3 linked regions of the Xenopus tropicalis genome follow. The protein of the gene in region 3 purifies or fractionates together with the protein of the main gene of each other region. This does not show direct contact. Links are inferred from orthologs where the notes say so. Each region holds a gene or a part of one and is shown on either strand. Other genes may lie near its edges.

Region 1 (7,129 bases), on a different chromosome or scaffold from region 3:
CCTTGGTAAGGCCTCACCTTGAGTATGCAGTGCAGTTTTGGGCTACAGTCCTTGAGAAGGATATTTAATGAGCTGGAGAGAGTGCAGAGACTTGCAACTAAACTGGTTAAGGGGATGGAAGATTTAAACTATGAGGTTAGACTGTCGAGGTTGGGGTTGTTTTCTCTGGAAAAGAGGTGCTTGAGAGGGGACATGATTACTCTGTACAATTACATTAGAGGGGATTATAGGCAGATAGGGGGTGGTCTTTTTTCCCATAAAAACAATCAACGTACCAGAGGTCACCCCTTTAGATTAGAGGAACCGAGTTTCCATTTGAAGCAGCGTAGGTGGTTTTTCACGGTGAGGGCAGTGAGGTTGGGGAATGCCCTTCCTATAGATGTGGTAATGGCAGATTCTGTTAATGCCTTTTAAGAGGGCCCTGGATGAGTTCTTGAACAATCAGAATATCCAAGGCTATTGTGATATTAATATCTACAGTTAGTGGTTGTGTATATATAGTTTATGTATGTGAGTGTATAGCTTGGTAGGTGTGGGTTGTGTGTGCTGGGTTTACTTGGATGGGTTGAACTTGATGGACTCTGGTCTTTTTTCAACCCTATGTAACTATGTGTCTGTTTAAAATCAGGGGTGGGTTTGTCCTAATGGTCCCTGACAGACACACAGTGGGTGGGGCATAGCCAATTGCAACCCTGCAGTGACACAAGCAAAGACAGGCTTCAGTTTCTAGGTCAGCCTAGCTTCTGATTGGTTCCTATCCTACAATGAAGTGCTCTGAGGGCTGCCAGCTCCCCTGCACAGTTTGGGAAAGGGGGCAGCGGGAAGAAGAACAGATGGGTGGGATTGGTAGGGGTTTTTTGTGAAATTTTCAGTACATCTGCCTGAAACACTACTCTCAAGTATATTTAGAGAAGTATAATGCGCTGGCACATTCTTGTTTTTTATACAATATATCTCCTTTAATCCAAGAGTGGGGTTGCTTTAATGTTGTCCTACGTGTCAAAGGTACTTACTCCTATTTTGTTTCTAAATTGTAGCCAGCGTTGCAGTCCTCAGTTGTTGCTACCTCCAAAGAACGTACACGCCGAGATCTTATACAAGATCAGAACATGGATGAGAAAGGCAAACAAAGGTAGAAAAAATTTACTTTTGCACCCCCCCCCCCTTTTTTTCTTTTTTGTCAAAACAGTTGACTTAAAATCGAAGTTGGAGGTTTAAGTCTTGCATATAATTTTATTTTCTTCTTAATTACAGGAATCGGCGAATATTTGGCCTGTTGATGGGTACTCTTCAGAAGTTTAAGCAAGAGTCAAATGTGGCAACAGAGCAGGTAATGTATGCTTGGTAATTTGTAATTTTTTGTCTGTGCCAATATAACATGTCATGCAAATATTTGTTTTGCACGTCTTCAGCCAAAGTGACTAATTTACTTACAATTTCTCCTATCCAAACTGCAGCAAAAAAGGCGCCACGAAATAGAACAAAAGCTTGAAGTGCAGGCTGAAGAAGAAAAGAAACAAGTGGAGACTGAGAGACGTGAGCTCTTTGAGGAAAGGCGGACTAAACAGACAGAGCTACGCCTTCTGGAACAGAAGGTTGAGCTTGCCCACTTGGTAAGTTACACACTAACTACATTTTAAAAAATTGGTTTATATGTTGTTCTAATAGTTAGTGGCTGCTTTGAAAAGGGACCATTTCTACTTCTGATTCATTTTAAACTATGTACAAATGTTCATAATAAGCATGCAGCAAATCAGAATAGCAAACTGAATATGAGATCTAATTGTGGACTCCGGGTTAAGCATAGTCAAAAATTGCTTTAATTACCCAGACTTATTGAGATGAATAAAACTGATATGGGTAATCCTGAAATTTTCATTTGTAATTTCAAATTATGTCCAGCTTTCTGGTGCTTAAAGCAAAATCTGAATTATGTATTTGTTTGGAAGTACTCAGTGCACCTGTCCTGATTTAGATGCGCCATGGTGAATTTTGTGTGGGTGAATGCAAAGCGTTCTACTACATTACTGTAATCTATGCACACTTAGATGCAAAAAAAAAAAAAAGAACTTTTATTAGAATACACACAAGTACAAAACACCTTCAAGAAGCTGCAAGATTTGTCTAATAGAAAAATCTCCACTTGTAATATAGGGGTTACAATCAATCTGTAATCTTTGTAAACCATATAGGGCAGATATGAGAGATACTGAATAATCCTAGGCTGTACCCTGGTTCTCTTGGCCTACAGACTGCAGCTGTCAGACAAAATAGCATTCTAATCAAAAGTATTATCATATCTGTATCATGTGATGCGAGTATGATGATGGCACTGTAAAGTGCACACTAGGGGTTTTGTCTATTTATAGGGTTTGTACCAGCAGGACAAATTGCTGCATCTTAATAGTAATGATGAAATCCAATTCTTTATCGGATCTGCAAAGTTTATTTATTTTTGCATTCAATTTCGCCTATCCAAGGGTCTTTTTGGTCTTCCACATGGCTATTTTCTTTTGAGCAGTTGTCTGTGTGATAGACATGGATGCAAGCAGACAGCTTCTCACAAGTAAAGGTTATATCATTCCCCTGTAAAAGTGACAGGCAAGATCAAACTGGCCTAAAAAAAAATGTTTCCGTTCGATTCTCACAGAGCAACTGATGGCCACGGACTGACTAACTTTTGTAGTGTGACGACACACAGAGCTACTAGTACTGTGTTTCCCCGAAAATAAGAACTACCCAAAAAATAAGCCCTAGCAGGATTTCTATGCATTTGTTAAATATAAGCCCTACACCGATAATAAGACCTAGTGATGGGCGTGGCTCCGCGCTATGCATTTCGGCATGAAGCGATAAGGAAGACTGGAATACCTTTTATCTGCCCTAGCTCCTTTCTCCTAGCTGTTCGCACGTGTGGTAACCGCAGACGCAGGCAATCCTATTACACATGCGCAAACGGCTAGGGGAAAGGAGTTCATGCATCACTAGCGCCAGCCCCACCAACAAGGTCTGCTCTCCCTGTCATGTCCAGGCCATACTGTCTCCTTGTGTGTCCCCAGGGGGAAGAAGGAAAGCTGAGGCTGCTATTTTACCCAGCAACAGTCTGTGGGCCTCTCTCACCCCCCCCCCCCCCCCCACTGGCAAATGTGGGTAAATAGCATGGGCAAGAGTAAAAAAAAAAAAAAGAATTTTAAATGAAAGTGTACTGAACAACAGTTTTTATTTGAGGAAACTGAATTGAATTTTTCAGTTTCTAATGTTTAAGACAAACTATTTTTTTAAGGGGGGCAGGATACTCCTTACCTCTTGTATTGGTTATTGGTTCTTATGTATTTATTCTTTTATGTTGAAATAATGTATACATACATTTATCATACAATGTTGTGGAACATTGTCACTTTGTAACATAGTAAGTTAGGTCGAAAAAAAGACATATGTCCATCAAGTTCAAACATAATGCCTATATAAACTGCCTAACTGCTACTTGATCCAGAGGAAGGCAAAAAACCCCATCTGAAGCCTTTTACTTGCCACAGAGGGGAAAAAATTCCTTCCGGACTCCAAGATGGCAATCGGACCAGTCCCTGGATCAACTTGTACTAAAAGCTATAGCCCATAACCCTGTATTCCCTCACTTGCTAATAAGCCATCCAGCCCCTTCTTAAAGCTATATAATGTATCAGCCAGTATGACTGGTTCAGGGAGGGAATTCCACAACTTCACAGCTTAAACGGAACCTCCTTTCTTCTAAATGGAATGAGTGCCCTTGTTTCGGTTGGAAGGACCTACTGGTAAATAAATCATTTGAGATGTTATAATATGATCCCCTTATATATTTATACATAGTTATCATATCACCTCTTAAGCGCATCTTCACCAGTGTAAACAGACCCAACTTGGCCAGTCTTTCTTCATATCTGAGACTTTCCATACCCTTTACCAACTTAGTTGCCTTTCTTTGGACCCTCTCTAATTGAATAATGTCCCGTTTGAGCACTGGAGACCCAAACTGAACAGCATATTCTAGATGGGGCCTTACCAGCGCTCTGTAAAGGGGAAGAATAACCCCCTCCTCCCGTGAATCTATACCCCTTTAATACAGCTCAATACCCTGTTTGCCCTTGCCCCTGCTGCCTGGCATTGCTTGCTACAGCCAAGTTTATTATCTACAAGGACTCCAAGGTCCTTCTCCATTATGGATTTGCCTAGTGCAGTCCCATTAAGGGTATAAGTGGCTGCATATTTTTAAATCCCAGGTGCATGACCTTACATTTATCCACATTAAATCTCATCTGCCACTTAGCTACCCAGATTGGCAGTTTGTCAATATCCTGCTGCAAGGATGTCACATCCTGGATAGAATTGACTGGTCTGCAGAGTTTTGTGTCATCTGCAAACACTGATACATTACTCATAATACCCTCCCCTAAGTCATTTATGAACAAGTTAAACAAAATGGACCCAGTACAGGACCCCACTGGTAACCTTACTCCAAGTTGAGACTGTACCATTAACAACCACCCTCTGTACCCAATCGTGTAGCCAGTTTCCTACGCACGTGCAAACGACTTCACTAATACCAATAGACCTTAGTACAGAAAGCTGTCATTTGTGGGGAACAGTATCAAATGCTTTGGCAAAATCCAAATTATCACATATACTGCACCCCGACTGTCCAGCTTCTTACAAACCTCATCATAAAAAGCAATTAAATTGGTCTGACATGAACTGTCATGTTAATAATTTAATGGCTTGTTTTCTGTTACAGCAAGAAGAGTGGAATGATCACAACAAAAAAATTATAAAATATATAAGAACCAAAACAAAGCCGCATCTGTTCTACATACCTGGCAGGATGTGTCCACCGAGCCAAAAGTTATTTGACGAGTCTCAGAAAAAACTGAATGGTAAGTATGTTTGGCTGTTAGGAACACAAACTAGTATTAAGTAACATTATAGAGTTGATTGCACACAAGAATGTTATTGCTGCGATTAATGGCAGAACTTGTTTGAATTGTGCAGGGACTTTAAAACAAATTAAGAAAGAAAGTTAAGAAGAAAACAGCAAAACATCTTTTACATTGCAGGAGTCTTTGCCAGTCTGATAAAATCAAAGGATATGTCCCCAATGCAATAATGCCTAACTAGTGTATTCTTATAAAATTTAAACTGTATAGAAGTCATGTTGTCTCTAGTCTAAAGGTAAATGGGGCATTAGCCGTAAAGAACTGCGTTGCAAGTGTGCACTGTCAGGCATTAATGTCAGTATGACAGCTTTTTGGGTAGCTACCCAATGAAAGCACCTGAGAAGCAACCCATAATCACAACCTCTGCTTATCTGCTTTGCCACTGTGCAGTAGATATCTCAATAGCCAGTGACTAAAGTAAGGCAATTCTAGGTGTGCTTGTAAGAGGTGCCTTAAAGTATGAATTGTGAAAAACAATTCTATAGGTATAGTTTCATAGTCCAGGAAAGTAGGAGTTGTAAAATTACATTATGCCAAGTCTTGTTTTTACTTCTAAGCTGCTAATGACCATTGTACTTTTTCACATAGCCTAATTTACTCTGTAAGTAAGGTATTTTTTGTAACATTATAAAAATGTTTAAATATTCTATTTTTCATTTCTTTTTCTAAACCACCCTTTTTCCTTTAGCAATATTTGAAAGCAGGCGGCTTGAGTTTGCTGAGCAGTTAAACAAAATGGAAGCTAGGCCTAGGCGTCAGTCCATGAAAGACAGAGACCAAGAGAAGAAGCCAGAGGAACAGAATGAAGAACATACGGAGGATCAAGAAGATGGTAAGGTGTCTCGGCATGATAGAGAGGTTGAGACAGGTAACCAGCCAAATGATGTAGATATGGAGGACACTCTAGAGGAAGATAAAGAGGTTAGCATTAGCGTGATGGATGTAGAAATGGCACATGATGCTAGAGGAGTCGAAGATATAGAAGATTCTAAGCAGATGGAGGAAAAGATAGAAGAGGAGGGTAGAGTTGAGGTAGAAGAATCCCAGAATAGTCAGTGGGAGGAAAGGGAAGTAGAGATTGTTGAAGAGGAAGTCAAGGAAGAAGAAACCAAGGATGAAATAAAAGAGGATATTAGTGAGGATCCGCAAACATTTGAGGTAAACCAGTCAGAGGTATTAGACTTGTTAGAGAATGTAAAGGACGGTGAAGATCAGAGTGAGGTTCAGACAGAAAATAATTTTACGCTTGAAGCTGAGACAGAAGCTACAAAAGAACCTGAACCTGAGAGGGAGGCTGACTCCCCAGAGAGACCACAGAAGGAGCTGGAGTTAATGTTCCCACCACCGGCCAGTTATGAGTCAAGGACTCAGCCTGAACACCACTTTAATGTGGATGAAGAGCATTTTGCTGAAAAAGAACAGATAGTGGCAGTGACTGTGCCTGTGGCTGAGACACAAGTAGAATATGCCCCAAAACCAGCCTCAGTCCATAAAGCTAAAAGAAGTAGGAGCAGGGGAAGAACTAAAAACAAAATGGGTAAAAGCAAGAGTAGTAGTAGCAGTAGTTCAAGCAGTAGTTCTAGCTCTAGTAGCAGTGGGAGCAGCTCTAGTAGTAGCAGTAGCCGAAGCAGTTCAAGCAGCAGTAGCAGCAGTGGGAGTAGCAGCCGAGACAGCAGTAGTAGCAGTAGCAGCAGCAGTAGTGAAAGTCGAAGTCGCAGCAGAGGTCGTGGGCATGCCAGAGATGACAAACGCAGGAGGAGTGTGGAGCACAAGAGGAGAGATGGAGCAGGTGTAGAGAGAAGTCACAAGTCTTCAAAAGGCAGTGGCAGAGACTCCAAGGGATCCAAGGACAAAAGTTCAAGGTCTGACAGGAAGAGGACCACTTCAGAAGGTAGTCGGTCAGGAAAGCGACCCTCAAGAAGTGAGAGAGACCGTAAATCAGACAGGAAGGACAAAAGACGTTGACAGATCCAACATGTGCTTACATATTTTAAGTCATCCCCTGGGAAGATATGGTGCTGCCTTAGCAATTGCATGATAACCATTTTGGGAAGCACAGACTTTTATTTTTCTTTTACTTTTTTTTTGCATAATTTTGTAATAGGTTGATGTCAGTTCTGATCAATTTAAATAAAACAAAGAAAAGTAAAGAATTTTACCAA
Region 2 (7,993 bases), on a different chromosome or scaffold from region 3:
GGGCACTTTATTCACTATATGTTATAAGGAACTCCTCGGGGGCTTATAATATCCCTATATGTTACAATAGGGGGCACTTTATTCACTATATATTATAAGGAACTCCTCGGGGACTTATAATATCCCTATATGTTACAATAGGGGGCACTTTATTCACTATATGTTATAAGGAACTCCTCGGGGGCTTATAATATCCCTATATGTTACAATAGGGGGTACTTTATTCACTATATATTATAAGGAACTCCTCGGGGACTTATAATATCCCTATATGTTACAATAGGGGGCACTTTATTCACTATATATTATAAGGAACGCCTCGGGGGCTTATAATATCCCTATATGTTACAATAGGGGGTACTTTATTCACTATATATTATAAGGAACTCCTCGGGGGCTTATAATATCCCTATATGTTACAATAGGGGGCACTTTATTCACTATATATTATAAGGAACTCCTTCAGAGCTTATAATATCCCTATATGTTACAATAGGGGGCACTTTATTCACTGTATATTATAAGGAACTCCTCGGGACTTATAATATCCCTATATGTTACAATAGGGGGTACTTTATTCACTATATATTATAAGGAACTCCTTGGGGGCTTATAATATCCCTATATGTTACAATAGGGGTACTTTATTCACTATATATTATAAGGAACTCCTCGGGGACTTATAATATCCCTATATGTTACAATAGGGGTACTTTATTCACTATATATTATAAGGAACTCCTCAGGGGCTTATAATATCCCTATATGTTACAATAGGGGGCACTTTATTCACTATCTATTATAAGGAACTCCTTCAGAGCTTATAATATCCCTATATGTTACAATAGGGGTACTTTATTCACTATATATTATAAGGAACTCCTCGGGGGCTTATAATATCCCTATATGTTACAATAGGGGGCACTTTATTCACTATATATTATAAGGAACTCCTCGGGGACTTATAATATCCCTATATGTTACAATAGGGGGCACTTTATTCACTATATATTATAAGGAACTCCTCGGGGGCGTATAATATCCCTATATGTTACAATAGGGGGCACTTTATTCACTATATATTATAAGGAACTCCTTGGGGGCTTATAATATCCCTATATGTTACAATAGGGGTACTTTATTCACTATATATTATAAGGAACTCCTCGGGGGCTTATAATATCCCTATATGTTACAATAGGGGGCACTTTATTCACTATATATTATAAGGAACTCCTCGGGGACTTATAATATCCCTATATGTTACAATAGGGGGCACTTTATTCACTATATATTATAAGGAACTCCTCGGGGGCGTATAATATCCCTATATGTTACAATAGGGGGCACTTTATTCACTATATATTATAAGGAACTCCTCTGTGACTTATAATATCCCTATATGTTACAATAGGGGGCACTTTATTCACTATATATTATAAGGAACTCCTCGGGGACTTAAAATATCCCTATATGTTACAATAGGGGCTGCTTTATTCACTATATATTGAGTGATTGTGTAGCGTATTTGTTACCTGTATAACCTGCTGGCCATAGGCTAAAGCTGGCTATACACGGGCCGATTGTAGCTGCCGAGGTTGGTCCCTTAGACCTATTCGGCAGCTTATCGGTAGTGTAGGGTCCCCGAACCGACTGCACCTATTACCGGCGTTCTAACTCGATCGAATTAGCTTGAATTCCCCCGATATCCCCCACCCGTAGGTGAAGGAGAAGATCCGCTTGTTTGGTGACCTCGCCAAGCGAGCGGATCTTAACGTGTATGGGCACCTTAACACACATTCCTACACATATTGTGTATAGTACTGACTGTATTATATATATATATATATATATATATATATATATATATATATATATATATATATATATATGCACAGTAACCAGCGTATGGTATAGTCAGTACAGTGTTACCCTATATGTTGGGCTGGCATATTTTGCAGCGCTGAATGGAGATTATACATCATTCCTGCACCAGGGGAGTTTGTAGTCTATAGTCTCTGTAACATACACTAGGTCCAGTTTTAGCAGGAACCAGTTATTCTGCCTTTATGTTGGGGGGTGAACCGTAGCACTTGGGGGGTAACCCACACAGACATGTACAGGACATATATATTCTTTGTAGATGGTTCCCTTGCTGGAAGCAAACCTAAGGGTGAAGACACATGGAGCTGCTAGTAGCAGCTACTTGTCGTGGCTACTAAATGCCAGAAAATCCCCTGCCATAGACAATACTGAGAATTGCCTCAGCTAAAACACATATAGAGACAATTATCAGTAAATGATCAGCATTGTCTATTTCTGTAGCCACAACAAGTAGCTGCTACTAGTAGCTCTGTGTGTCTTCACCCTAAGGGTGAAGACACATGAAGCTACTAGTAGCAGCTACTTGTCATGGCTACTAAAACAGACAATGCTGATCATTTACTGATAATTGTCTTTACATGTGTTTTATCAGAGGCAATTCTCACTATTGTCTATGGCAGGGGATTTTTTGGAGTTTAGTAGCCTTGAAAAAGTAGCTGCTACTAAGTAGCTCTGTGTGTCTTCACCTTAAGGGCTCTGGCACACAGGGAGATTAGTCGCCCGCGACAAATTCTCTTGTTTAAAACCTCACCAAACGAGCCAGTCTTATAGAGCTGCCTTTAGGGCTCTGGCACACGGGGAGACTAATCTCCCCGAGTTGCCATCCCACCGGCGAAAATGTAAGTCGCCGGTGGGATGGCACATGCGGCGGCGCGATTTCGCCAAATCGCCGAAAATGCCTTTGTGAGGCAACTTCGCCGATTTGGCGAAATCGCCTGCGCAGCGTGTGCCATCCCACCGGCGACTTACATTTTCGCCGGTGGGATGGCAACTCGGGGAGATTAGTCTCCCCGTGTGCCAGAGCCCTAAAGGCGGCTCTATAAGATTGGCTCGTTTGGTGAGGTTTTAAATAAGAGAATTTTTCTCCTGATATGGTAACCTACAGTGGGCAATATTGGGCTAATTGGATCATTTGGTTACAATGACAGGGATAAGAGCCGTTGGAGTGAGGACCACATCAATGAGATGAACACAGTCCTTTATTGGATTGGTGGGGTGGGTGGGGGGCCACATACATGGGCAGATAAGCTGCCGGATTGGTCAAGACCACTGTGACCCTTATTATATGGCACAGATAGAGTTAACAGGATCACCCCCTACATTGCCAGTTACTTTAGTCTCTGATTGTCAGTCAGTGCAGGGGCTCATTTTTTTATATATAATTAGGGATTCACCAAATACACTATTTTGCAAATTAGGATAAGGAAATGTTAAAATTAGGATAATGTAGTAATTATACAAATTATTATTATACAAATTAAGATAAGAAAGGTTTAAAGAGGATTCGAATTTGGTTCGGCCGTATCCAAATCCTGCTGAAAAAGGTCAAATCCTGGTTTTGGTGCATCCCATATATATATATATATATATATATATATATATATATATATATATATATATACACAGATTGCAGAGTGGGGAGCACACCAAACTTTAGGTACAATACCTGGGTGCCAGAGCCGCAAAATGTAGATAAGTGAATGAATGTCGGCACTCACAGGATTCTCACAAGGATGTATCACAGACAATATGGTTGAATGCAACTAGGTGAGGTTTATTGTCCTACGTTTCGGTTCTTTACTGGAACCTTCGAACCTGACGAAGGTTCCAGTAAAGAACCGAAACGTAGGACAATAAACCTCACCTAGTTGCATTCAACCATATTGTCTGTGATACATCCTTGTGAGAATCCTGTGAGTGCCGACATTCATTCACTTATATATATATATATATATATATATATATATATATATATATATATATATATATATATATATATATATATATATATATATATATATATATATATATATATATATATATATATATTATATATATATATATATATATAGCAAGAAAAAAGAGCTGCACTCACCAGGACTTGGCAAAAATATAGTAAGTTTATTTAAGCAAAGAGATCCAACGTTTCGAGCACTAACTGTGCTCTTTCTCCCTGAGGAAGAGCACAGTTAGTGCTCGAAACGTTGGATCTCTTTGCTTAAATAAACTTACTATATTTTTGCCAAGTCCTGGTGAGTGCAGCTCTTTTTTCTTGCTATATATATATATATATATATAATATATATATATATATATATATATATATATATATATATATATATATATATAGCTAGCACTAGTGAAAGGCTACCAGTAGTAATATCTCATTCCTGACCAGCCATTAAAATTATTATTAGAGGAAACTGTTAGACTGAGGGATGGGAGCAGCAAGCATAATACACCTAATTTTAAACCATTATTTTTTCTGGTTCCCTAAAAACAAATTTAGTGAGATTTTCTGTTTCTCTTTCAGTCGCCTATCATGGCTGAATGGTTCCGGCCTTGGTTTTTCATTAGAATATCCTTCAATCAGTCTACATGCAATCTCCAGGGACACGGCCGCCTATCCTGAGGAGCATCTCTACGTCATGGTGAACTCCAAGCTCGGAGGTGCGGGCAGGTTTTTGTCTTTGGTGACCTCTTAGTTCAGCTTTGCTGATAGGCTCTGCTAGCAGTGTTAGGGTAAAGACACACAGAGCTACTTAGTAGCAGCTACTTGTCACGGTTACTAAACGCCAGAAAATCCCCTGCCATAGACAATACTGAGAATTGCCTCTGCTAAAATACACGTAGAGACAATTATCAGTAAATGATCAATATTGTCTGTTTCTGTAGCCATGACAAGTATCTGCAACTAGCAGCTCCGTGTGTCTTCACCCTTATATGCGGCATTATATATATATATATATATATATATATATATATATATATATATATATATATATATATATATATATATATATATATATATATATATATATATATATATATTACACCAGCGCTACACTGACTGCAGAAGGTTGAGAGTTTTAGTTCATCACATATAAATAGACTCTGGCTCTTGCACCATGCACATTCTTAAAGGAGAACTAAAGCTTAACTAAAAACGTAGGGCAGAAATGTTGTACATTGTGTTTTGGGTTTCTGTATAAGCCCAGGGCAACCACAGCCCTATAGCAGTGAAGATCTGAAGATGCCCCAGTTGCCCCCCATCTTCTTTCACACTTATTCCCAGCACATGCCCTGGGCTGCCGTCAGTAACTGATCTTAGGGAACCACTCACAATAGACTGTATATATAGAATATACATTTTACAATATAAGTGAGATAGTGTAGTAAATAATACAGATTACATGGCAGCTCTAAAACCAATGCAGTTAGCATCAGAGCTCAATATGCCCAGAGCACACTGAGCATGTGTAGTGTCACTGACACTCCTAACAAAATCCAGGATAGGGAGCTCCTGTTCCCTATCAGACCCACCTAGTTGCTGATTGTTCCTAAGCTACAGTGCAAGTGCTGCCAGCTTCCCTGAACAGCCTGGGAAAGGAGCCAGCAGGAAGTGAAACACATGGTTTTTGGAAATGTTTTTATGAAATCAGCCCAAAACACTTTTCTTAGCACATTCCTTCTATATTTAGAAGCGTAAAATGCATTGGCACATTCTTGTTTTTTACACAATATGCTTAAAAAGCCCTAAGAGTGTCCCCTCTGCCTGTACAGTATCTGCTCCCACTAATCAGGGAAATAGAGGTAACTGTTGTGAGGAAATAGCATTTTAAATCACAGATCAACAAGGTGCTAAAATGTAATTTAAAATTCGTTTTCTGGTGGTCTTGGCTTTTGGCTGTAAACTACTGTTGAAATCAGGCTAACATGGATGCTACTGACTGGATTTACATTTGTAGGCACCAAATAAAATATATGGGAGATCCCTTATCTGGAAGCCCATTATCTAGGAATTTCCAGGTTATTGTAAGATCATCACCCATAGAGTCTATTTTAGGCAAATAACAAAGTGATTTCCTTTTTCTCAATAATAATAATAATAAAACAGTAACTTGTACTTGATCCCAACTAAGATATAATTACCCCTTATTGGGGGCAGAACAGCCCTATTGGGTTTATTTCATGGTTAAATGATTCCCTTTTCTCTGTAATAATAAAACAGTACCTGTACTTGATCCCAACTAAGATATAATTACCCCTTATTGGGGGCAGAACAGCCCTATTGGGTTTATTTAATGGTTAAATGATTCCCTTTTCTCTGTAATAATAAAACAGTACCTGTACTTGATCCCAACTAAGATATAATTACCCCTTATTGGGGCAGAACAGCCCTATTGGGTTTATTTAATGGTTAAATGATTCCCTTTTCTCTGTAATAATAAAACAGTACCTGTACTTGATCCCAACTAAGATATAATTACCCCTTATTGGGGGCAGAACAGCCCTATTGGGTTTATTTAATGGTTAAATGATTCCCTTTTCTCTGTAATAATAAAACAGTACCTGTACTTGATCCCAACTAAGATATAATTACCCCTTATTGGGGGCAGAACAGCCCTATTGGGTTTATTTCATGGTTAAATGATTCCCTTTTCTCTGTAATAATAAAACAGTACCTGTACTTGATCCCAACTAAGATATAATTACCCCTTATTGGGGCAGAACAGCCCTATTGGGTTTATTTAATGGTTAAATGATTCCCTTTTCTCTGTAATAATAAAACAGTACCTGTACTTGATCCCAACTAATTTTCCTAGAGAAACTAAAGCTCCCCCCCCCAAGGAAATGCCTCTAAAGTGAGGAAAAACAAAATGTTCCAGAAACATGTAAAATGTTGCTGGCACTTAAAGGGTTAAATCATCATTGTGACTGCAGATTGGGGGAGAGAGGCTCTGACTCACAACCTGACAGTCCCACGAAATGGAGCAGTCAAAATGGTTTCTTTCTTTTGCTACATAATGGCTTAAATAGGTCAGGCTGCATCTTTGTGTGTATCATTTGGAATGCGGGGGATGATTTTAGCTGTGCCTGGGTTTTTCTCTTTTAAAGGGGAAGTTCATTTTTAAATTAATGTTTAGTATTGTATTGATAGACCTTTTCTTTTCTGGCTAATGGTAACTTAATACAGATATGGGGCCTGGGCCTTTCCAGACAGGGATCTTTGTGCAATATGGATCTCCATTCCTTACGTCTACTAAATATCAGTTTAACATTAAATCAACCCAATAGGATTGTTTTACCTTGTTAGTTGGGATCAAGTACAGGTACTGTTTTATTATTACAGAGAAAAGGGAATAATTTAACCATTAAATAAACCCAATAGGGCTGTTCTGCCCCAATAAGGGGTAATTATATCTTAGTTGGGATCAAGTACAGGTACTGTTTTGTTATTACAGAGAAAAGGGAATCATTTAACCATTAAATAAACCCAATAGGGCTGTTCTGCCCCCAATAAGGGGTAATTATATCTTAGTTGGGATCAAGTACAGGTACTGTTTTGTTATTACAGAGAAAATGGAATCATTTAACCATTAAATAAACCCAATAGGGCTGTTCTGCCCCCAATAAGGGGTAATTATATCTTAGTTGGGATCAAGTACAGGTACTGTTTTATTATTACAGAGAAAAGGGAATCATTTAACCATTAAATAAACCCAATAGGGCTGTTCTGCCCCAATAAGGGGTAATTATATCTTAGTTGGGATCAAGTACAGGTACTGTTTTATTATTACAGAGAAAAGGGAATCATTTAACCATTAAATAAACCCAATAGGACTGTTCTGCCCCAATAAGGGGTAATTATATCTTAGTTGGGATCAAGTACAGGTACTGTTTTATTATTACAGAGAAAAGGGAATCATTTAACCATTAAATAAACCCAATAGGGCTGTTCTGCCCCAATAAGGGGTAATTATATCTTAGTTGGGATCAAGTACAGGTACTGTTTTATTATTACAGAGAAAAGGGAATCATTTAACCATTAAATAAACCCAATAGGGCTGTTCTGCCCCAATAAGGGGTAATTATATCTTAGTTGGGA
Region 3 (8,569 bases):
TTTAAATTTTTTTGGTGTTACTATGCCTTTAAGGGCCATATAGCACCAATTTGAAAATTTGCTTTCTGCTAGTTGCAATATCAGATGAATTTAAAATTTGCACAAAAGAAGTAAAAAGAAATAATGAATGTGCAGGTGTGCTTATAGTTTTGGGTATGTATAAGCATGGCGGACATGCTATTTCTGTTTGCAGAACAAATATGGCCTGATAAATGTGCCTGACCCTGAGGGACTACACTTGTTGCACTGATGGCAGTTCTGTGCCTTAGAAAGTCATTCATTGCAGCTATGTCACAGCTAGAGCACAGATCTGTATCCGTGACCCACAGCATCAGTTGGGACTCAATGAAGTGCTGTTGCATTATATAACGTTTAGAAGTCAGTAGAAAGCAGAGTTGGAAACATACAATATCTGACTGATAAAAGATTCAAACAGTTTTGTGTGTATTGAGATTGATTCCATATTATTTTGTTTCACAATAACATTTCTTCTTCCTGTTTCATTTGACTTTTATCTGATATCTTTTATTCTGGAATACCCAAGTAGAAGGATCACAAATTCCCTCAGCATTTAAAAGGCTTTTTCAAACTCTGATGGATAACATCAGAGTAAGTAGGTGGGGTGAGGGTTATCAATTGCTCTGCCTTTTCAGATTTTAAGTTGCCACCAGAGAAACTGCTGATTTGCTGCCTCCAACCCCATATTTATTATGTACTTGTGGGTAGATTTCGATGCAGAATTGTGGGGTAGAAGTCACTGCATTGGCATCTTTTCCAGTGGCCAACAAGCAGCTCCTTCTCGTCTAATGCCATAGTCAAGGATCACTTAGACTACCTGTGACTATTTGCAAGTAGCAGGCAAGACAACTTGGTTGATTCTTCAACTAGAAATAGTTTTTATTTTATTTAATGATTGGGAGCTCACTCTGTCTCCATCTGTTTAGGATCACTGTGCTGAAATAGCTTTGTAAATATGGGGTAAGGGGGCTGTAGTGAGGGGTGGATCACAGTAGGGCAACAAAAACTGTAACCCCACAGGGGCCCTCAGTTTTCTTGTCACATACATCAGCAGATTTTTCACTAAACATCTGTAACACAATGGTACTCTCAGTGGGTGCTCCACTCCAAATTGTAGCGTGCTGCTTTTTAGTGTGACGGCAGGCAGTAGATACAGCTACCGGATTAACATTGTTCTCACTGCTCACTGCTGTTTCAGTTGGGTTCACCACAGTTCGAAGCAGAACAGATTTTAAAATAAGGGGTGAGCTGCACCCTTTTATTTATGAAAATATTGTGAGATGAGCATGAAGAGAATAAATGTGCCAGGTTAGGAAACGCTGGAAAGTCATGTTGGCCATGAATCAAGTTGTGCATGTGGCTTGCAGGCTTACCTTTAGAGAACCATTCTGCTGGGGGACAAATAAAAATTGTGCAAAAATACACTTTTTTGGCAGTGTAACCAGACAAGCAAATGTTGTAGTATATAGTCTCTCTTGTACATTTAAATCCCCAGTGCAATTCACGTGGGTGGCTCTGATCTCTAGTTTGAGCAAATAGTAACCCAGTGTAAGCTGTTTCACACACATAGCAAATAAATTATGGTTATAACCAGATGATTTTCAGTATGCTAATAGTCAGCACCACAGAACAACCCCCCTAGGTTCCATCTGTCCATGCACCCAGTATATTTCTTTATCATCCACACAATCCTGCACAGCAGAGTGTATGTATATGAACTATGTTGCCGCATTCTGAGGTCACATCACCTGGCACTAGAGTAGACCTTGCTGGAATTAGGGACGGGTGGATAGAGCTTCTAGCAAAGATTAACTAGCACTCTAATCACAGATATGACAGCCTGTGCTGAGCAGGAGACATTGTTGAGCTGTTGCTTTTTGAGTATTGATGACTAATAGAAGATCATAGGGCAAAGTTAAACCTATGTCAGCAGAACCAAAGCACTGGCACAAATGACCATAAATGGCTCTCGTAATTATGGATATTATTACCAGGGGTTGTTTTTAACCCCATTAACATTTTGTTTCCTGTTCTTAAAGCAGACTGTTATCTGGGGTTGGGAATGCTGTCGATTTGAGTGCAAAATGATTTCTGTGTAGCATAGCCTGATCTGCAAGATAGTCTCATTTACAAAAACAGTTGTGGAAGGATGTCAAAGATGCCAATTTCTAAATGAAGCTTTCTCCAGAGTACACATATCTTGGACCTGTTTGTCATTCTCTTTTATTTATGCCAAACATCAGCTTGAATTTATGGAGTTTAATGAGGGTGGTTTTTGAGCTAGTGACCAGGACAAAGTCATTGTTTTTTCTTGGGATGTGAAAATGTTAAAAACGTGTATTTTTTTATTGGTATGTGTAGGCTTTGATTTGTAGAAGCTGCAGTTTGGAATGGAAAGGAGTGAAGTCCCAGTAAAACAGATTGCCTTGTCAGCCTTGCAAAAGGATGCCAGCATCAGTTCAGATTTCAATGTCTGCTTTTATTTAACAGAATGTGCTAAGATCTGTACATGCAAACAGATGTTAGGTTTTACCCTCCTTGTACTCCAACTGCTTTTTTGCAAACATTCATTATGCATTTTATTCTGTTACATATAAGGTTGCATTTTGTATATTAATGTACATTCTGGTAAAGTGGTTTTATTTGCTTTTTCTCAGCTTTTGGTGCAGTGTCATAACTAGGGTCATGTGAGCCCTGAGTAAAAATTTGCAACAGCCCCGCCAACAATATTTTTATGAAGAGGCAGATTTTTTCCACAATGCCACTAATATCACTGGGTCCACAATAGTTATGCCACTGGTTGCCACTTATTTCCACATCTCATAATACCCTCAGATTCTTCATCCAATGCCCTCTATTTACCCATGTCCAAGTTATTGCAGTTTTCTTAGCCTTCTAATTATAAAGACATTTTATGTGCCCATGGGCCCCTTTGTTGATTTTGTGCCCTGGTGCAATCACATTATTGGACTGAAATCTGAGAAGCTAGTTACCACAACCCCGTTACACCCTTGCCAAGCCCAGATACTGTTCCCAACCACACAGTTATACCCTTTGCCCCCCTGCACCTATTTTCCATTCAAATGAAGGAGAATAACCCAGTGTAGAGTAGGCATGTCCAGCAGGAATTGCTTGGAGTGCTAAGTGATATAACTTTTTCATGTCACTTTTTAGAAATAATATTTCTGTCACAGGTTTAAAATTCACCAACACTCATCATTGTCAATTGGCTCCCTGTTCAATATATGTTATTTTATTTTAACCTATTCCCCTTAGTTACTTCTCTTTTTTTACAGAAGATCGTGTGCTATATTGCCTAATAAACCACAGGATACAAGGACAGCAAAAAAAAAAAAAAAAAGATATCTCTAGTCAGCATATGCAGTGTCACGTTTACTATTAGCACAGATTTGATTGTGAAATAAGTCTGTGAATCTTGGCAATAGTACGTGGAAAATCCATCCATTTTACTTCTCTTTCCTGAAACGTATTCATTTACATTGAAGAAATTCTAACTTTGCCTTTCATTTTTTACATGTATCCTGATATCGGATTATGGACTTCATGAACATCTGTGTGGACACCATACTTGCTGTGGGGGTTACACTGCTGTTGGTGAGTAACTGAGGTTTCACAATAATCTTTGCATAGTGTTGCATGCACTGATAAGGTCTGATTACATTATGTTTTTATTGTTTATTTTACATTTGAGACTATAGCTTAGGAAGGATACCTTTCTCTACACAAGTTTCTAATTATCTGTTCCTTTGCACCTAATAAGGCTGGGTCAATGCACAGGTTAATCAGAATGATTCTGTTGCATTTGAGGTGGGAAGTTTAGCAAATTATGATTTTGTAGTCCTATGGCTATAAGTGATAGATTATCTGCTGATGAATTGCAGTCTTCTTCCTCTAGTGTCTTGTAAGAATAAGTCATGCATTTAAGTAATACTTAGAAACAGTAGCTTCTATATTGTTCTTACCTGTGTCGAAGAAAACATAATAAGCAGGTTAAAAGGTTGTAATAGAGAAAATAGCCTGTACACTGTAATTGCTCGTTGTCACTTTCAGTCATTAGGTTTTGGTCCTATCTTTAGTTATTTTTTATAGACGTGGAGGAAAGTGGATCTGCTTTTATGCGCACACCCTGTAGCTTCATTAACAGACCCATTGTTGCCCTCTGTGGAGCTTTAGGAAGGGCATATTGGCAAGAGAACAGGAATGTATGCATTTTCACATCAATATCCTCTATGTGGTCTCTTCCCCACAGCACAGGCCTATCTCTGAATTCAAGCCTCAGATACTTCTAAAATCTTTGTGTTAAAGTCAGTTGTTTGTTAATGCAAGGTGGAGGGGTGGTGAGAAGCTCTTACTGAAAGAACTGTTTACATCCTTACTATAATATACCACACCCCAAAGCATAAAGGGAAGAGTGATGGCTTCAGCACTGGTATCATAAGAGGAAGGAGCATAACTATAGGGCAGTGTTCCCCAACCAGTGGCTCCTGAGCAACATATTGCGCTCCAACCCCTCTTATATTGCTCTCCGTGACCTCAAGGTAGGTGCCAGTCCACATCGGGGCTACCAAATAGCCATTTGTAGCTCTTACTGGCCCCCCAAGGAACCTTTTTTATGCTTGTGTTGCTCTCCAACATTTTTTCCTGTTTAAATGTGGCTCACTGGTATAAATGGTCAGGGACCAGGGGCACTGCTATAGGGGTTGCCACCGCAGGAGTGCTATATAATACAGATATATAGATCAGTGATGAGCAACAAGTGATTGTGGGTGCTATGAGTGGTCAGTTACAGCTCACAAATGCTAGGTGACCCACCAGGAATAATATACTGGAATGGGGTGCCCTGAAGAGAATCAGTGTCAGATAGGCATTCCAGAGGCACACAAGAAGACCTTATACCACAAGCCTATTGTCCTCTCTTCAATTATTTCCATTTTACAAGCAATCATCTATTCTTCCCTCTATATCTGTACCCAGGGCCGTTGCTGGCCAAATGGGTGCCCTAAGCAGAAATTTACTTTTGTGCCCCCTCCCCCAAATATTACGGAAGTAAAAATAAAATACACAGAGCCCCCAATTGCCCCCATAGACAATGCCCCCATAGTAAGTGCCCCCAATAGCCCCCATAGATTGATTGAACTATCCGGGACAGCGGGATGCGCTATAAAAACCGGGGGGACAGTGTTGGGGGGTATGTTATAATATATAAAAATGTTTTTTTTTGGAGCAGCTGGGATGGTGCCCCCCTGGGAGTTGGTGCCCTATGCAGACTAAGTACTCTGCTTATAGGGAGCGGCGGCCCTGTCTGTACCCTTTCTTTCAAGCAGAAATGGGCAATAGCCATGGTATAGGCCGGCATACCAGGAGCCACTGGGAGTTTTCTTTGTACCCTTGTGTTGCTGTCTGATACTGATTAAAAGGTTTTGCCAAGATAAATTGGGTAGCCAGGTACCACATCTGAGTCACTTGAAATTGTACATGTTGCCCATTACTGGTAGAAGTCATGCAAGAGTCATAGGTAGGAAGTAGGAAGGGGCCATAATATCTGGAGATTAGACAAGTTTGGTTGTGCTAAGATTATGTGTGTGTGCTTATGAAATATGTGTATATGTATATATGGCAAGTTCCATAATGGTGCGCACCATTTACTTAGTACAGTGCCCTGGTGCCAAAGTCCATGCATATGTATAACCTAAGAGCAACAACAGATAGCACACAAGGGATTTGTAAAGCAAAAAAAATGCAAAAATGTATTGATTCAACATTTTGGCCTCCACAGGGCCCTTCATTGGGGGTATATTAGTGCAATGCAGCCCCTAATGCATTTTGGCAGTTATTTCATTTAATTTATCTTGTACGTCAAGTGAAATATGTGTTGCCATACTTTGGTATGTCTGTTATGTGCAACAGATATACAATATATTACATGCATGATAGAGAAATATGATGCTTTTCCTGTAAATGTAATTTTGCTGTACTTTATAGTAATGTTTTAAGCAGTGATACTGTGGCTGCTTCTTTCATACACTTTCATTTCATAGCAAGTTCTGTTCTACACTGACTGTGGAGGCTTAAGGGCCGTGGCAGACGGGGAGATTAGTCGCTCGCGACAAATCTCCCTTCTCGCGGGTGACTAATCTCCCGGAAATGGCATTTTACCGGCGAGAATGTAAATCGCCAGTGGGATGGCATACGCGGCGCCGCAATTGCCGAAGTTGCCTGTCGAGGTTGTATGTTTCTTTTATTTGATTATACTGGGCTGTTTTAGTGCAGACAAAAGCCGTAAACAAAGCATGGCATATAAGCTTGGTCACGTTACGGTAAAAAAAAAAAATTCTAAATATTACTGGGACTTATTGGATGCCTTTTACTATATATATGGGCCAGTGTTGTACTGACATTGAAAAAAAACAGTTACATCATGTTTGCTACCCCTAAGTTTAAAAGGGCAATATTTATTCTACATATCTACATCTACAACAGCATTAATCAATGTGAAATTTTGCTTTTATGAGCCACAGTAAGACACTTGGTAGAGAAAGCTGTGAATTAAGAAAAGCCATCCTATTAAAGAGCTCATACTACAGGCTGGGACTTGAGTCACATGTATTTTGTATAGTAACCATTAAAGGTTTTATCAGGACTATTACCTCCATGTTTTTGGCTATTAATGTTACCTAAACTCAGTGGGAACCATTTAACATCTACTGGGGATGGATGCTTGTCTCTACAGTAGTTGTTGCTTTGGCTGGGTCAACACATATGGGTTCACATATGAGCAACACAGAACCAGAAAGCAGATAAATTTGACTTTGGTCATTTGAATTGAGTTAGGGTTACTAAAAAGGTAAGACATTAAGGGGTCTCCTGGGTGAGTGCCCATCATTTCATGCCTGCCTTTCTAATTATTACCTAAGAATGTGATCAGAGATACAGACCTATTGGCTCCCATCTGCTTCAGAATGAGTGTGGAATACTCAATGGCATCACTCAGTCTTTTAGCTCGGCTTCTGCAAACCTTTTAGCATTATGTGTATTTTTATGCTTACTTTAATCACATCTCTGAACGTGTGATCTAGCCGGTGTTTACACCAATTAGAGGTCCTGAAAATGTATGAAAATTCCGTACTGCATAGATTTGCCTTATGTGCTTAATGGAAAAGTTAGGATGGAATTTAATTGGGTTAGCATGCTACTATAAGCTTTTAAAAACTTTGTTTTGACAGAACTATTTCTCCTTTGGAGTTTGTTTTAAAACTGTTACTATACTAAATCATATAGTTGTGTTAAATAAATTAGGGACAAAAGTCAGTTTATTTGCAGTGGCATCACTTCAGTGCAAATCTACCTTGGTACCATCATTATTGCTGATGATAATTTCAATTATCCAGTCAGCACCATTGCAAGCCACAAGTCTGACACCGGATGACACCAATGTGCTGGAAGTGGCACCTGCAAGCATCCTGTAAATGAGCCCACATTGTAACCTGTTCTGTGCCATGTGCTGACAATTTCACTGTATAATCACGTTTTTTTGCTAGCAATGCTTTATAAGTGCCTATAAACTATAATTTTTATTCCATACATGGATTGCATATTGGGTTTTGTAGCATAATTGTGCTTTCAGCTTAATATTGTTGCTTAATGGGGTTTTCTGCCACGGTGAAAGGTTAAAATCTTGTACTGTTCAAAGGTTGTAGTAATAATCAGCAAGACTTAGCTGGCGGCAGCGGAAATTTGTTTAGCAAGGATTTTTTCCCTAGGCTGTAAACAACTTTATTGCCCACTGTTCATTTTATGTGGTAAAAGCTTTGCTGGCTACAGGGTTTTGCAGATCGAACAAGGGTTAAGTCTGCGGCTGTGATGGGAGATTATCGCTTTAGAGATAAGGAACCATTTTTTAGAGGCCACCTTATTTGGATGTGCTATTTCAGAAGTTCCTTTTATCTCCCTTTTGCCCAGAGGCTCTTATGGCTGTGGCTTTATTTTTAGACAAGGATTTTTATTCAGTTCAAATGGAGTCTATGGATGCTAATGGAATAAAATTTACAAATTATCTTTAAAAAATAAGGAAGGATAAATCACGTTTTTATAAAATATTATGATCACTTAACAAGCATATGTTGTAGTCCACTAACTTAGTTTTATTGATTGTGCAAACAGAACTGTCCAAAAATCCTGTTTGTCTGAAAATCCTCTGATACAGAGACAGCAGTTTGTAGTGTTTGATTGTGATTTAGCCCTTATTTATTTAAACTTGTGTATTATAATGTGCAATAAAGCCAGGGCCAAAGGAGAGATTTTTAAAAGCCCCTTAGCCCAGCCTTATAATCTGTTAATATATGTGTATTGACAGTGTGACTGTTGCAGGTGTGGTTTAGGCAGTAGATAAGTTGACATATTGTGTAAAAGTTATTTGGTAATTTTCCTGTTGAAAGTGCCCTTGTCTAGTTTTTTGGGAAATCAGAAGGCCCGCCGCATTTCCTCAGGCTTTGTATCTTATCAGATTCTGCTGTTGGAAACAAGGTGGAGT

What was found.
Region 1: the proteins of epb41l3 (region 3) and pnn purify together in Homo sapiens (co-immunoprecipitation; 3 studies listed by BioGRID and IntAct, with this or other methods). This does not show direct contact. The link is inferred for Xenopus tropicalis from reciprocal best matches to the Homo sapiens genes EPB41L3 and PNN.
Region 2: the proteins of epb41l3 (region 3) and clns1a purify together in Homo sapiens (affinity purification with mass spectrometry; 3 studies listed by BioGRID and IntAct, with this or other methods). This does not show direct contact. The link is inferred for Xenopus tropicalis from reciprocal best matches to the Homo sapiens genes EPB41L3 and CLNS1A.

Annotation. Positions count from the first base shown.
Region 1 is NC_030684.2:104,723,359-104,730,487, reverse strand, and holds the end of pnn (pinin), read left to right. Parts: intron 1-1,037; coding exon 1,038-1,132; intron 1,133-1,254; coding exon 1,255-1,330; intron 1,331-1,457; coding exon 1,458-1,613; intron 1,614-4,768; coding exon 4,769-4,907; intron 4,908-5,655; coding exon 5,656-6,932; 3' UTR 6,933-7,117; downstream 7,118-7,129. UniProt on the Homo sapiens protein: Transcriptional activator binding to the E-box 1 core sequence of the E-cadherin promoter gene; the core-binding sequence is 5'CAGGTG-3'. Capable of reversing CTBP1-mediated transcription repression.
Region 2 is NC_030678.2:168,849,891-168,857,883, reverse strand, and holds part of clns1a (methylosome subunit pICln), read left to right. Parts: intron 1-4,417; coding exon 4,418-4,554; coding exon of another isoform or gene 4,555-4,560; intron 4,561-7,993. UniProt on the Homo sapiens protein: Involved in both the assembly of spliceosomal snRNPs and the methylation of Sm proteins.
Region 3 is NC_030682.2:106,252,353-106,260,921, forward strand, and holds the start of epb41l3 (band 4.1-like protein 3), read left to right. Parts: upstream 1-3,505; 5' UTR 3,506-3,633; intron 3,634-8,569. UniProt on the Homo sapiens protein: Tumor suppressor that inhibits cell proliferation and promotes apoptosis. Modulates the activity of protein arginine N-methyltransferases, including PRMT3 and PRMT5.